Struthio camelus: one gene and its partners. The protein of the gene in region 1 purifies or fractionates together with the protein of each later gene. This does not show direct contact. Links are inferred from orthologs where the notes say so. Each region holds a gene or a part of one and is shown on either strand. Other genes may lie near its edges.

Region 1 (3,738 bases):
CTGTCTGTCTGTCCGTCTATCTCTCCGTCCGTCCGTCTGTCTGTCCGTCCGTCTGTCCGTCTGTCTGTCCGTCCGTCTGTCCGTCTGTCTGTCTGTCTGTCCGTCTATCTCTCCGTCCGTCCGTCTGTCTGTCCGTCCGTCTGTCCGTCTGTCTGTCCGTCCGTCTGTCCGTCTGTCTGTCTGTCTGTCCGTCTATCTCTCCGTCCGTCCGTCTGGCTGGCCGTCCGTCTGTCCGTCTGTCTGTCCGTCCGTCCGTCCGTCTGTCTGTCTGTCTGTCCGTCCGTCTGTCCGTCTATCTGTCCGTCCGTCTGTCTGTCTGTCTGTCCGTCCGTCTGTCCATCTCTCTGCTCTGGCTCCCCGTCTCCGCCCCGGCGCCCTGCTGGGAAGGAGGCGGGGGGGGGCGCTGGCAGGGTGCCCGGGTACGGCTGTGGGGAGCGGGGTGGGGGGGTGGGGGGGAGGCATGTTTGGGGTGTGTGGATAACCTGTCCCCCCCCTCCCTCCCCTCGAGTTTGGGGAGGGGCTCGTTGTGGCGGTGCCTCGTTTTGGGGGTGTCCCTGTGGAGGGGGGGTCTCGTTTTAGGGGTACCTCTCTGGGGGGGGCTCGTTTTGGGGGTCCCGTTTTCGGGGTGCCCCTGTGTGTGGGGGGGGTCCCGTTTTGGGGGTCCCGTGTTGGGGGGGCCCCTGTGGGGGGGGCCTTTGGGGGGTGTGGTGCCCCGTACTGACGTCACCACCCCCCCGGCCGCCGCGGTGACGTCACGGGGCTGACCCCCCGCCGCCAGCCAATGGGGGCAGGGCTGCCCGCCCGCCCGCCCGGCAGCGGCGCCCCCGCCCTGCCGGAGTCCGCCCGCTCTCTATGGTGGCAGGTGAGGGAGCGCCGCAGGTGAGGCCGCAGGGAGCGGCTAGTCTAGCCCCCGCCTCCCCGACATCTCTATGGCGGGGGGCGGCGAGGAAAGGCGCGGGGGCGCCCCGTCCTCTCTAGCCGCAGTCCTCCGCGCTGTCCATGGTCCCGGCCCGCGCGGGCAGCGCGAGGTCCTCCCCCGCCCCGACGGTGGCGCCTAGAGCGGCCGCGCCGCCGCGCCTCTCTATGGCGGAAGTGGGGGCTGGTTCCGGCGGCGGCGGCGGCGGCGGCTGGCGGGGGGGGGGGGAGGAGGAGGAGGCTCCGCGCGAGGTTCGTGTTGCGCAGGCGGGAAAAGTGGCCGCGGTGCGGGGGGGGGGGGGGGGGGGGGGGACAAGGGGCCGGGATGGGGGGGGCAGGGGCCTTGGGGGGGGTACGGGGGTTGGGGGGCCCGGGAGGCGGGTCTGGGGGTGGGGGGGGGGGCTAGGGGCGGCGGAGCTCGGTGGGGGGGAGGGGCCCGGGGGGGGTACGGGGGGCCCGGGAGGCGGGTGGGAGGGGAAGGTTTTTTGGGGGGGGGGGGAACCTGAGGGCAGGGTTGTGCCTCTGGGGCATTTTGGGGCGCGGGGCAGAGGGAGGCGGTTTGGGGTGGCAGGGGACGGAGGGAGGGGCAGGGGAAGGCCCGCGGGGGGGCGAGGGGGTGGGAGTTTGGGGCCGGAAGGGCTGGCGGGGGCTCGGGCGGCTTGGAGGGAGCTTCAGAGGTGTTGGCGGGTGCTGGGGGAAGGGAGAACAGGCCAGGAGAGTTGGGGGGTTGTCCGGTCGCCCCGTGGCAGCTCCCGCTGGACTGTGCGTCCCCCCCCCCCCCCCCAAAATGGGTCAGGCAGCTTGCCCAGGGACCGGGGGGTCGGACGCGGGGGTGTAGGCAAGGCTAGCTGGGGTTGGGGGGCGGGAGCAGGTGGAGAGGGACAGCTCTGGGGGTGGGGGTGCCGGGAGCGAGCCTCGTTCCTCAGCTTTTCGGCTCTCTGTGCTCCCGTCTGTCTGGACCGCGTGAGCTTCTCCTCGGCAGAGGAGCCTTTCTTGTCCCGAGGGGTTCGAACTCAAGGTGTCTCCTTGCCGTGCTCTGCTCACCCTCTTCTCCTCCCCCAGCGCTTCGTTGTTCAGACGTTGTCCTCGCCTGCCACCCGACCAGGGCATGCCGGGCTGAGGAGGGAAGTGAAAGACTCGCTGTTCTCGGCGTCCTCCCTCTCTGAAAATCCAGGCGCCGCAGCTTTCTCGGCCCCGAAGCCGCCATGGCCGACACGCTGGAGTTCAACGAGATATACCAGGAGGTCAAGGGATCCATGGTGAGAGCGCTGGGCAGCAGTCTGCCCGGGAAGGGCTCCCTGCGGTTGTGGCAGGAGTGTCTTGCAGGGCCACACGCTCGCCAAAGCTTTGCGTTGCTTGCTGCGTCTCTGGGGCCGGAGACGAGCAGGTGACACGTCAATGCGAGATGTGGCCTCGTAGATGTAACGCTTCAAACGCTTCAGGCGCTTCGCTGTGCACTGGGGTGTGGGCCCCTACGTCTCTTTCGCTGCCTTGTCCTGGCAGAGAGCGCTTGGCGGATCTCGACCGGAAACCAGAGCGGCGGCGCCTCGTTTCCAGGGCTGAAGTGTTTTGGAGCCCCCATCAATAGGGGCTTTTAGCGCCTGCCTGTTGTGCAGCTAGCGAGGTTGTGGTTGGGAACGCTTCCAGGAGCAGGGGTGCCACTGGTAAATGCTGTAGCTACTTTGAGAGGCGTGCGCGTTGTACATTAACCCGTGCAAAGAGCACGTGGAGGACTAAAGCCGGGGAGGTGTTGAAGGGAGTCCTCTTGTTTCACCTAGAAGGATTGGGCAGCCGTCTGTTCCGTGCCAAGGGAGGCAGTTCCCTGCTCCAGGGCCTGAGGGCTGTGTCTCCCTTGGGCTGCCCCCCTCTCCGCGGGTGTGAGTGCGGGGTGAGCTGTGCCCCGCCTCACGCCCGCCTCTCCCGTCAGAACGATGGTCGGCTGCGCCTGAGCCGCCAGGGCGTGATCTTCAAGAACAGCAAGACGGGGAAGGTGGACAACATCCAGGCGTCGGAGCTGGCGGAGGGCGTGTGGCGACGCGTGGCGCTCGGTCACGGCCTCAAGCTGCTCACCAAGAACGGCCACGTCTACAAATACGATGGTTTCCGGGAATCGGTGAGCCCCCAAGCCCCGTTGTCTCTGACCTCTCCTTGTCTCTGACTGATGGCTGAGCCGTGCTGCGTGCATGCCCACACATGCACTGCACAAGCCCTTCAAAACATGGAGTGCGCTTTTTTTTTTTCTCTTCCCTAAAACTGTCCCTTTTCTTGTGGGCTTGTTCTGCAGCCTCTTTGCTTGTTCCGTATCTAGCTTTGCTGCTTGTGAGCCTTGCAGTGCCAATCTCCTTCCTCTTAAGAACAACTCTGACCCCTGTTTTTCTTGCTCCTCCTTTTGTGTGTGGGACTCTGTCCTGGTTATGCGTTCTGGGCAGTGCCCATGAGCACCTGGTAGCTTCTGACAGACACTCACTGTTTTTTTCCTGCTTCTCACCCTGGCCCAGGAGTTTGACAAGCTCTCAGATTTCTTCAAGGCCCACTACCGCCTGGAACTGGCGGAGAAGGACCTGTGCGTGAAGGGTTGGAACTGGGGGACGGTGAGGTTTGGAGGTGAGTTGTGGCGAGCTAGGAACAGCCCAGTGACTCTGGGCTACTGCAGAAAGGGGATCTGTGCTGGGTGCAGACAGGACCTCCCATGCCAAGGTGGTGGAGCTAGGGCGGTATCCAGTAGCTGGGGACAGTTTCCCGTTCCACCAGCACGGTTGTTCGCGCAGTACTTGGCTGTTAACAGCTTCCGATGTTGTTCTGGGCATCTGCAGCTACCTGCTT
Region 2 (3,738 bases), on another chromosome or scaffold:
ACATATTTTTGGTATGGTTTGCATGACAAAGTATAGATTGTATTACAGGATGGATGTTAGCAGTAAGGCCGCCGCTAATATATTGGGAATCTGTGTCTTACAGCAGCGGGCCAGTGCCACTGTGCGCAATGGGCATGTGTACCAAAAGAAGTGGGATGGCAGCGTAGAATGTTTTTATCTAAAGAGGGATGAGTATAATCTTTGACACCTGTGTATTTATTGGGTGAGACGGACAGTAGGGTGCATCTGCCTTTATTGAGATTAATAGTGTTAATAAAGATGCTAAATTGGGGATAGGTAATATTATGGCATGTGATTTTGTGTAATGAAAAATTAATGATATTGTTGCATGTGCATAATTGGGGTGTATTTATTTTTATGGACTATTCATGTCAATATAACGTGATGATTAGTTTGCTGGTGGAGGGCACTAGCAGGGAGCGGTGTGTTGCTCTATAAAACGGCTATGTCTCGAGCAGGAGGGAGGAACAGCACATATTGGAGGTTTTCTCTGTATCCCTGGGGTAGGAATAGTTTTAAAGGTACCGGCGTTTATGACAGGCGGATGCATTGTGTGTGTGGTCAGGAGGTGACAGGAGTCACTGTGGGATTGACACACAAGCTGCTGATGGTGGCTGGTGATTGCGCTGTAGAGCGCCGTGGACTACTGGTGGGTACCGCGAAGGGGCCCGCAGCGCTGTTGGGTGCACGCGACAGAGCGGAGAGTGCCAGCGTGCTATGGGGCACCGTGGGCCCGATTCTGGCAGGTGCGTGAAGGAGGAGGTGGAAACGCGATACAAACGCCATACGTGGCTCTCTCGGGATGCCTGCCTCTGCCTATGGAGAGAAGGGATGACCAGGCACCCAGGGGTGCGCGTGGGAAGGACCTCCTGGGTGCTGCAGAGCCGGGCGCCGGACAGGCAGAGGGAGCAGCGCTGCACCAGGGCAGGCGCGCAGCGAGCTCGGTGGGGCGCTCAGTAGTCCACTATCAAGGGTCGGGCGAGAAGCGTGAGCGTGGCGGCCACGGTTCCCGCGGACGGCGACGCCTGGCTTCGGCTCCCGCCCAGCACCAGCGAAGCCTGCCCTCCACGCTCAGGGGTGAGCGGGGCGGTGGGCGCAGGGGGCCCGCCGGGGCAGTGGCAGCCGGCACCAGGGTCCTGTTGCTGCCCCGGCGGCTGCCTCCGAGGGGGAGGGTGGTGCCCGCCGTGGGGCCTGTGGAGCCCGTGTGGCCGGGAGGCACGCAGGGGCCGGGCGGCGGTGCCAGAGCGCTACAGTGGCGCGGCTGGCCGGGCGCCCCGGGGCCGTTAGGGGCCGCGCGGAGGGGACGGGGCCCCGCGGCGGGAAAGGCCCCCGAGGGCGGCGGCGGCGGGCGGGGCGGGGCGGGGGCCGCGGGTGGGCTGGGGGCGGCGGCGGCGCGGTGGGGAGGGTGGCTGGGAGTATTATGGGATGTCTGGCTGGACGGTGGCTCCCGGCGACTATTATGGGATGCCTGCCTGAGCGCGGGGGGGTGGGGTGGGGGTGTGACTATTATGGGATGTGCGCCTGGGGTATGACTATTATGGGATGTGCTGGGGGTTATTGCAGTGTGCGGGAGGCGGGGGGGGGGCCGACCAGGGGACGTGCCTATTATGGGATGGCAGGCCGGGCAGCGGGGGCGCGGGGTGAGGGGGGCGCGCGCGGGGGGCTGGTAGGGGACGAGTATTATGGGATGCCTGAGTGAAGGGGTTAGAGTGTGGGGAGTATTATGGGATGTTTCTCGGAGGGACGGTTGTATTATGGGATGTTCCTGCTGGGAGGGGTTATTATTATGGGATGCCGGGCCGGGCAGTGAGTGGGAAGTTCTGAGGGGAGGGCGAGTATTATGGGATGTCTCAGTTGGGGGGGTTGCCAGGGAGACGGGGGCGGGGCCCGTTGCTGGGGTCCCGGGGCATATTATGGGATGGAGGCGGGAGTGGGGCGGGGCCTGGCTGGGTTTTTTCCCCTTTAAGAGGCGGTGCCGGGGCCGGAGCCATTTTCCCTTCAGCAGCGGCGGCGGCGGCGAGCGAGCGAGCAGAGCTGGGGTCTTGAGCCGGGTGAGGAGCTGGGAGGGGGCGGGTAGAGCTTTCCGCCGCTGCTTGGGGTGTCTCTGGCTGCGGGCGCCCCTACGCGCCGTGGGCCGCCAGACGCAGCTCCCTCGGGGCTGCGCTGTCCTCCTGCTCGGGCGACCGCAGGACCGCGGCGACACAGCACCGGCGAGCAGCCGCCCCGCCGGTGCCCGCTGCCCCGGCCGCTGCCAGCCGCTCGGCTCCCGGCCCGGCGCCCGTCCCTGGGGAGAAGCGGCCCCTCGCCGCATGCGAGCCGGACTTCCCCGGCCCCGCCCCGCGCCCCCGCCCGGGCGACCGTGCCCCGCCGCGACGCTGCCCCCCCTCCCCCCCCCCCCCGCCCGCCTGCCACCCCCGCCCTGCGCCGCGCAGCCCCGCTCCGGGCGGGGGCGCGGGAGCGGCGGGCAGCGGAGCGGGGCTGCCGGCGCCGCCGAGCCGGTCCTGCCTTTTGTGCGCGCCCGCGGCGCGCGATCGCCCCGGTGGCAGCGGGCTGCAGGGACCCGAGGAGGAGGGGGAGGCTGCTGCTCGCCTGCCTCTCCGGCCGTGGTGGCTGCAGCCCGGGGCTGGCGCGCCAAGTTTGTGCAGGCGAGTTGGGGACTCCCGGCAGCACTTGTTCCGCCGCTGTCCGCCGTACCGGTCCCGGGCTCAGCCCCGACCGCCGCGGTGGCTGTGTGGCTCGCTGACAGCGCCCTGATTCAAGGTCTCCTTTGGAAAATCCGCCTCCCCTTCTTGCCTCTCCTTCTCCCAGTCCAAAGTAGAAATAACCTAGGGCGCACGCATTCTGGTCTGGCCCCTGATTGCAGGGGAAAGGAAAATTTCCCATAGGCTAGCTGTTTTGGCTTCCTTGCAAGGGATGAGTCGCTGACTCAGTTTACTATCTAGTGTCTTCAGAGTCTACTTCATCACAACTTTAAGCTGATACCTGCTGCCAGTGTTTCTATTATCTGTAGGCTCCAAATCCAGTAAAGCTGCCGTCCAAGCTTTCTCACAGATCTCCTTGTTAGCACTATTGCTTGGGAAACAGGAGTTCAGGTGCACTATAACTTTCTCCTTTCCTTTTCAATAAAGTACTGGCTTGACTGGCAGGAAGACACCTTGTATGAGCCTGGGCCTCCACCAGTTTGGAGGACATGGCATCGGGCATTGGATCTCCATCCCCGTGCTCAGGGGGCAGTGATGATGATGACATGGAGATTCTGTTGAACAACGCTATCTCCCAGCATCAAGGTACAGAGCCTACGGGGCATGAGTGTGTGAACTGGGGAGATGCTATTTTCATGCTGAATATGTGAGAGAGATGAAGATGATGTGCAAGGCAATGTTGTACTTTGCTAGGAGTCATGCATGTGCTTTTTTTTTTTTTTTTCAGTATGTGAGTCCTAGCTAGGATTAGCTCAAAATGAGGCTCACAGCTTTTAGTCAGGTGGAGCTGACTTTGTTCCAAGCCATTGCAGGTTGTCAGGGGCCTGTGCTTTGAGGAGGTATAAGGGGGTGGAGGCAGAGGGGTGGATTCTGACAGGGCACTGAAATGCCTGCAAGTTTCATGTTTCATGAATGGGGAGGGGGAAGAGGGGCAGTATGTGAAAGGGCAGGGTGTCTGACTTTCTTTCATCTGGGAACTCAGACCTGCTGACGTCCAGAGCAAACTGCCCTGGGC
Region 3 (3,738 bases), on another chromosome or scaffold:
TCGGGGCGAGGCAGGGGACGGGGGATGCGAGGGGGGGGCCGGGGGGTGCGGAAGTTGCGGGGGGTCGGGGCGAGGCAGGGGACGGGGGATGCGAGGGGGGGCCGGGGGGTGCGGAAGTTGCGGGGGGTCGGGGCGAGGCAGGGGACGGGGGATGCGAGGGGGGGGCCGGGGGTGCGGGGGGTGCGGGGGGTCGGGGCGAGGCAGGGGACGGGGGATGCGAGGGGGGGGCCGGGGGGTGCGGGGGGTGCGGGGGGTCGGGGCGAGGCAGGGGACGGGGATGCGGGGGGGGGCCGGGGGGTGCGGAAGTTGCGGGGGGTCGGGGCGAGGCAGGGGACGGGGGATGCGAGGGGGGGGCCGGGGGTGCGGGGGGTGCGGGGGGTCGGGGCGAGGCAGGGGACGGGGCTGCGGGGGGGGGGCTGGGGGGGGCCGGGGGGTGCGGGGGTCGGGGCGAGGCAGGGGACGGGGATGCGGGGGGGGGCCGGGGGGTGCGGGGGGGTGCGGGGGTCGGGTCGAGGCAGGGGACGGGGCTGCGGGGGGGGGCCGGGCGGTGCGGGGGGTGCGGGGGGTCGGGGCGAGGCAGGGGACGGGGGATGCGGGGGGGGGGGCCGGGCGGTGCGGGGGGGTGAGGGGGGTCGGGGCGAGGCAGGGGACGGGGCTGCGGGGGGGGGGCCGGGCGGTGCGGGGGGTGCGGGGGTCGGGGCGAGGCAGGGGACGGGGGATGCGGGGGGGGGGGCCGGGCGGTGCGGGGGGGTGCGGGGGGTCGGGGCGAGGCAGGGGACGGGGCTGCGGGGGGGGGGCCGGGCGGTGCGGGGGGGTGCGGGGGTCGGGGCGAGGCAGGGGACGGGGCTGCGGGGGGGGGCCGGGGGCAGCCCCGGGGCCTGCGATGGGCGGGTGTGACCGGGGGCTCGGCGGTCCGCGGCGGGGGCGGTGCGGGGGGGCGGCGCGGCGCGGGGCGGCCGTTGGCGCCGGGCGGCGGCCAGGGCGCGGCGCGTCCTCCGCGCCGCCGGGGGCGCTGCGCGGCGGGCGGCGCGGCGGCGGGGCGGGCGGCCGCCTCTCGCGGCGGGCGGCGCGGCGGCGGCGCGGCTGCATCGGCGCCTTTTCCGGGTTGGCTGCGCCGCGCTCGGGGCCGGCCCAGGCTGCAGCGCCGCCGCCGCCGGGCACCGGCAGCGGCCTCGGGCCTCGCCACAGCTCCGCGCGGGCCCCGCGCCCGCCCGCCTGCCCGCCCCCGGGGCCGGCCCCCGCCCTCCCGGCCTGGCCCTGCCGCCCCCCGCCGCCGCCCTCCTGCGCGCCGCGCCCCGCCTCGCCGGCCTCCCGCGCCGGCCCCGCGCCCTCCTCCTCCTCCTGCAGCCGCCGCCGCCCGGCGCCGCCATGCCCGGCCCGGCCGCCGGCAGCCGGGCGCGGGTGTACGCCGAGGTGAACAGCCTGAGGAGCCGCGAGTACTGGGACTACGAGGCGCACGTCCCGAGCTGGGGGTAAAGCGCCCCGCGGGGACCCCCCTTCCCCGGGCCGCCGCCGGCCCCCTCGCCCGGCCCGCCGGCGGCTGGGGGCGGCCGGCCGCCCCTCCGCCCTGCAGGCCCCTGCCCGAGGGGAGGCGCCCAGCCAGCTCCCCCCCCTCCCCCGCCACTTTTCGGCGTCCCCATGGGTCCTCCCCCGCGGGGAAGCGGGCGGCTGCGGGAATGGCCTGGGGGAGGGGGATCCCCCCTTCCCCCCATCCCAGCCTGGTGCCCTGTCAGTTATTTTCCTCTCCCTCTGCTCTCTTTTATTTTTTTTTGGTGCCTGCAGCAATCAGGATGACTACCAGCTGGTTCGCAAGCTTGGCCGGGGAAAGTACAGTGAGGTCTTCGAGGCCATCAACATCACCAACAACGAGAGGGTAGTTGTGAAGATCCTCAAGGTGAGCGCCTCGCGGGTGGTTGCAGGGGCTCATGGTGGCAGTGGCCCTCGTTTCATTTTTGAGCTGGGAATAAGGAGGAAAGAAGCTGTGCTAGGGCCAAAAGACTGTTAGGTCTTGTCCTGCACCCCAAAACTCTTGTTCTTTGCTTTGTGGACACTTGAGTGCTGGACTGTATTTTGGGAAAGGGATTTAGTGTCCTGTGTGCTGTAGTGATGTTTCAATGTCTCCACCCCTTCTGTGCAGAGTAGCTGGAGCCTGCTCCAGGCCGAGAGCTCCTCGGGAGGAGGAGTGCTGTGAGTCCTGACACTTGAACAGTGTTGCATGTGCTGCCTGCATTTGGTAAATCATATCTGGCAATGTCTGTCTAAAACATTGCAAGGACTGCCATGTCAACAGGAATATGAAGCCCAGGGGGGAATCTTTTTGTTAACCTTTAGACAGCTGGCGTGCGGCGTTTTCAGGGTTCAGGCCGCAGGATGCTCAGCGGTCAGGCTTTAGTAAAGCAAACAAAATCTTAGATTTGGCCCTTTGAAGGATCTGCTCCATGGAAGAGAACTTCACTGTGGTCAGGTCAAAAATACTGTGGAAACTTGAGGAGGCTGAAGCAGACCATTTGACAGTTAGCAGCATTAGTGATATGCCCTGGTGTGTTGATTGTATAGAGGTTGGGGTGTGGGGATCTTCTTGCAAAAGTAACCGGTTGCAGTTTGGAACGACTAAATGCACTGGATTAGCCTCTGTAGGGCACACCTTACTGCGTTTGATGCTGAAGCAGTGTGCTTACAGAGAGGCGTGGTAGCTGTGTTTGCAGAAGTCTGTGATGGTGGTCTGGGGGTGAGGATGGTGGGGGGGAGAATCGAAAAACAGAAACAAAAGGTGCTTTTGGCTTTGGTTTGGCTGATGCTTGTGGCTGTTGTTTGTAGAATCAGCAACGCTTCTTACTTGTTCCTGAAGAGCATGTGGGAGCTAGTTTCTGATCACAGGCATACTAAGAATTTGGGCTCATGTTGATCTGCAGTGTGCAGGGAGGGTTCAGAGCTTGGAAAGTTGTCCTTGCAGCCGCTAAGGCTAGTAACTACGTAGGATACGTGTCTCTGCTCCAGGTCATAGCCTTGAGGCTAGGAGGAGTTCGCTAGATCTGATCTGATAGTGTGGCTAGCTGGCTAGTTTTGTCTTTGCTCCTCTCCCCACTCATCCACTATTCCTGCTTTCTTGGGATCCTTCTTGGTTTCCCAGAGAACTTGTCATAGGCTGCTGGGTCACAGCTCCTAGGCAAGGCATGACTTCCTGTCAGAGGAGTAAACTGTATCCCTGCCTTGACTGTGGCTAGGTGAGCCATTAGGGAGAGCCCCTGTGGCCGAGTCCTGGCATAAAGGCAGAGCAGTGAGGCTTCTGTGTCCTTGCTGAGTTCTTCTGGCATACTGCTCAGGCTTCCCCCTCCTTTAGATGTTTTACATAAGGTGGTGTGGGTTTTCTTTGTTTGTTTGTTTTTTAGGTAGGGGCAGGCAGGAGTTTCTCTTTTGAGAGAGAGTAGTCAGAGGTAGCCAGTGTAGGGTTGTATGTTACAGCAAGATGGCTTGTGGTTAGGCTGAGGAAACTGTGCGCTTCTGTGTGCTGCTCTAGAGCCCCGATGGTCTCTCCAGGAGTGCTATGGTTGGTTGAGACTGTAGATCTTGCCCCACATAAAAAGGTGCCACTAGGCTTCAGGACTGCAGAGAAAGTCTTTGAGAAATCTTCTTCCTTGCCTGTCCCCAGCCTAAAGGGCCTGCCCTGGAGCAATGCTCCTCTCGCTGTGGCAGCTGAGCTCTGTCGTCTTTAGGGTGCCTGTCAGCACTGAACTGTGA

The links. Proteins that work in one complex are often made in the same cells at the same time.
Region 2: the proteins of SSRP1 (region 1) and CHD4 purify together in Homo sapiens (affinity purification with mass spectrometry; 3 studies listed by BioGRID and IntAct, with this or other methods). This does not show direct contact. The link is inferred for Struthio camelus from reciprocal best matches to the Homo sapiens genes SSRP1 and CHD4.
Region 3: the proteins of SSRP1 (region 1) and CSNK2A2 purify together in Homo sapiens (affinity purification with western blotting; 3 studies listed by BioGRID and IntAct, with this or other methods). This does not show direct contact. The link is inferred for Struthio camelus from reciprocal best matches to the Homo sapiens genes SSRP1 and CSNK2A2.

The regions. Positions count from the first base shown.
Region 1 is NC_090946.1:7,555,215-7,558,952, forward strand, and holds the start of SSRP1 (FACT complex subunit SSRP1), read left to right. Parts: upstream 1-1,083; 5' UTR 1,084-1,167; intron 1,168-1,977; 5' UTR 1,978-2,120; coding exon 2,121-2,174; intron 2,175-2,842; coding exon 2,843-3,028; intron 3,029-3,413; coding exon 3,414-3,519; intron 3,520-3,738. UniProt on the Homo sapiens protein: Component of the FACT complex, a general chromatin factor that acts to reorganize nucleosomes. The FACT complex is involved in multiple processes that require DNA as a template such as mRNA elongation, DNA replication and DNA repair.
Region 2 is NC_090942.1:90,899,395-90,903,132, forward strand, and holds the start of CHD4 (chromodomain-helicase-DNA-binding protein 4), read left to right. Parts: upstream 1-829; 5' UTR 830-1,098; intron 1,099-1,988; 5' UTR 1,989-2,072; intron 2,073-3,149; 5' UTR 3,150-3,211; coding exon 3,212-3,308; intron 3,309-3,738. UniProt on the Homo sapiens protein: ATP-dependent chromatin-remodeling factor that binds and distorts nucleosomal DNA. Acts as a component of the histone deacetylase NuRD complex which participates in the remodeling of chromatin.
Region 3 is NC_090951.1:30,371,288-30,375,025, reverse strand, and holds the start of CSNK2A2 (casein kinase II subunit alpha'), read left to right. Parts: upstream 1-1,289; 5' UTR 1,290-1,368; coding exon 1,369-1,472; intron 1,473-1,782; coding exon 1,783-1,894; intron 1,895-3,738.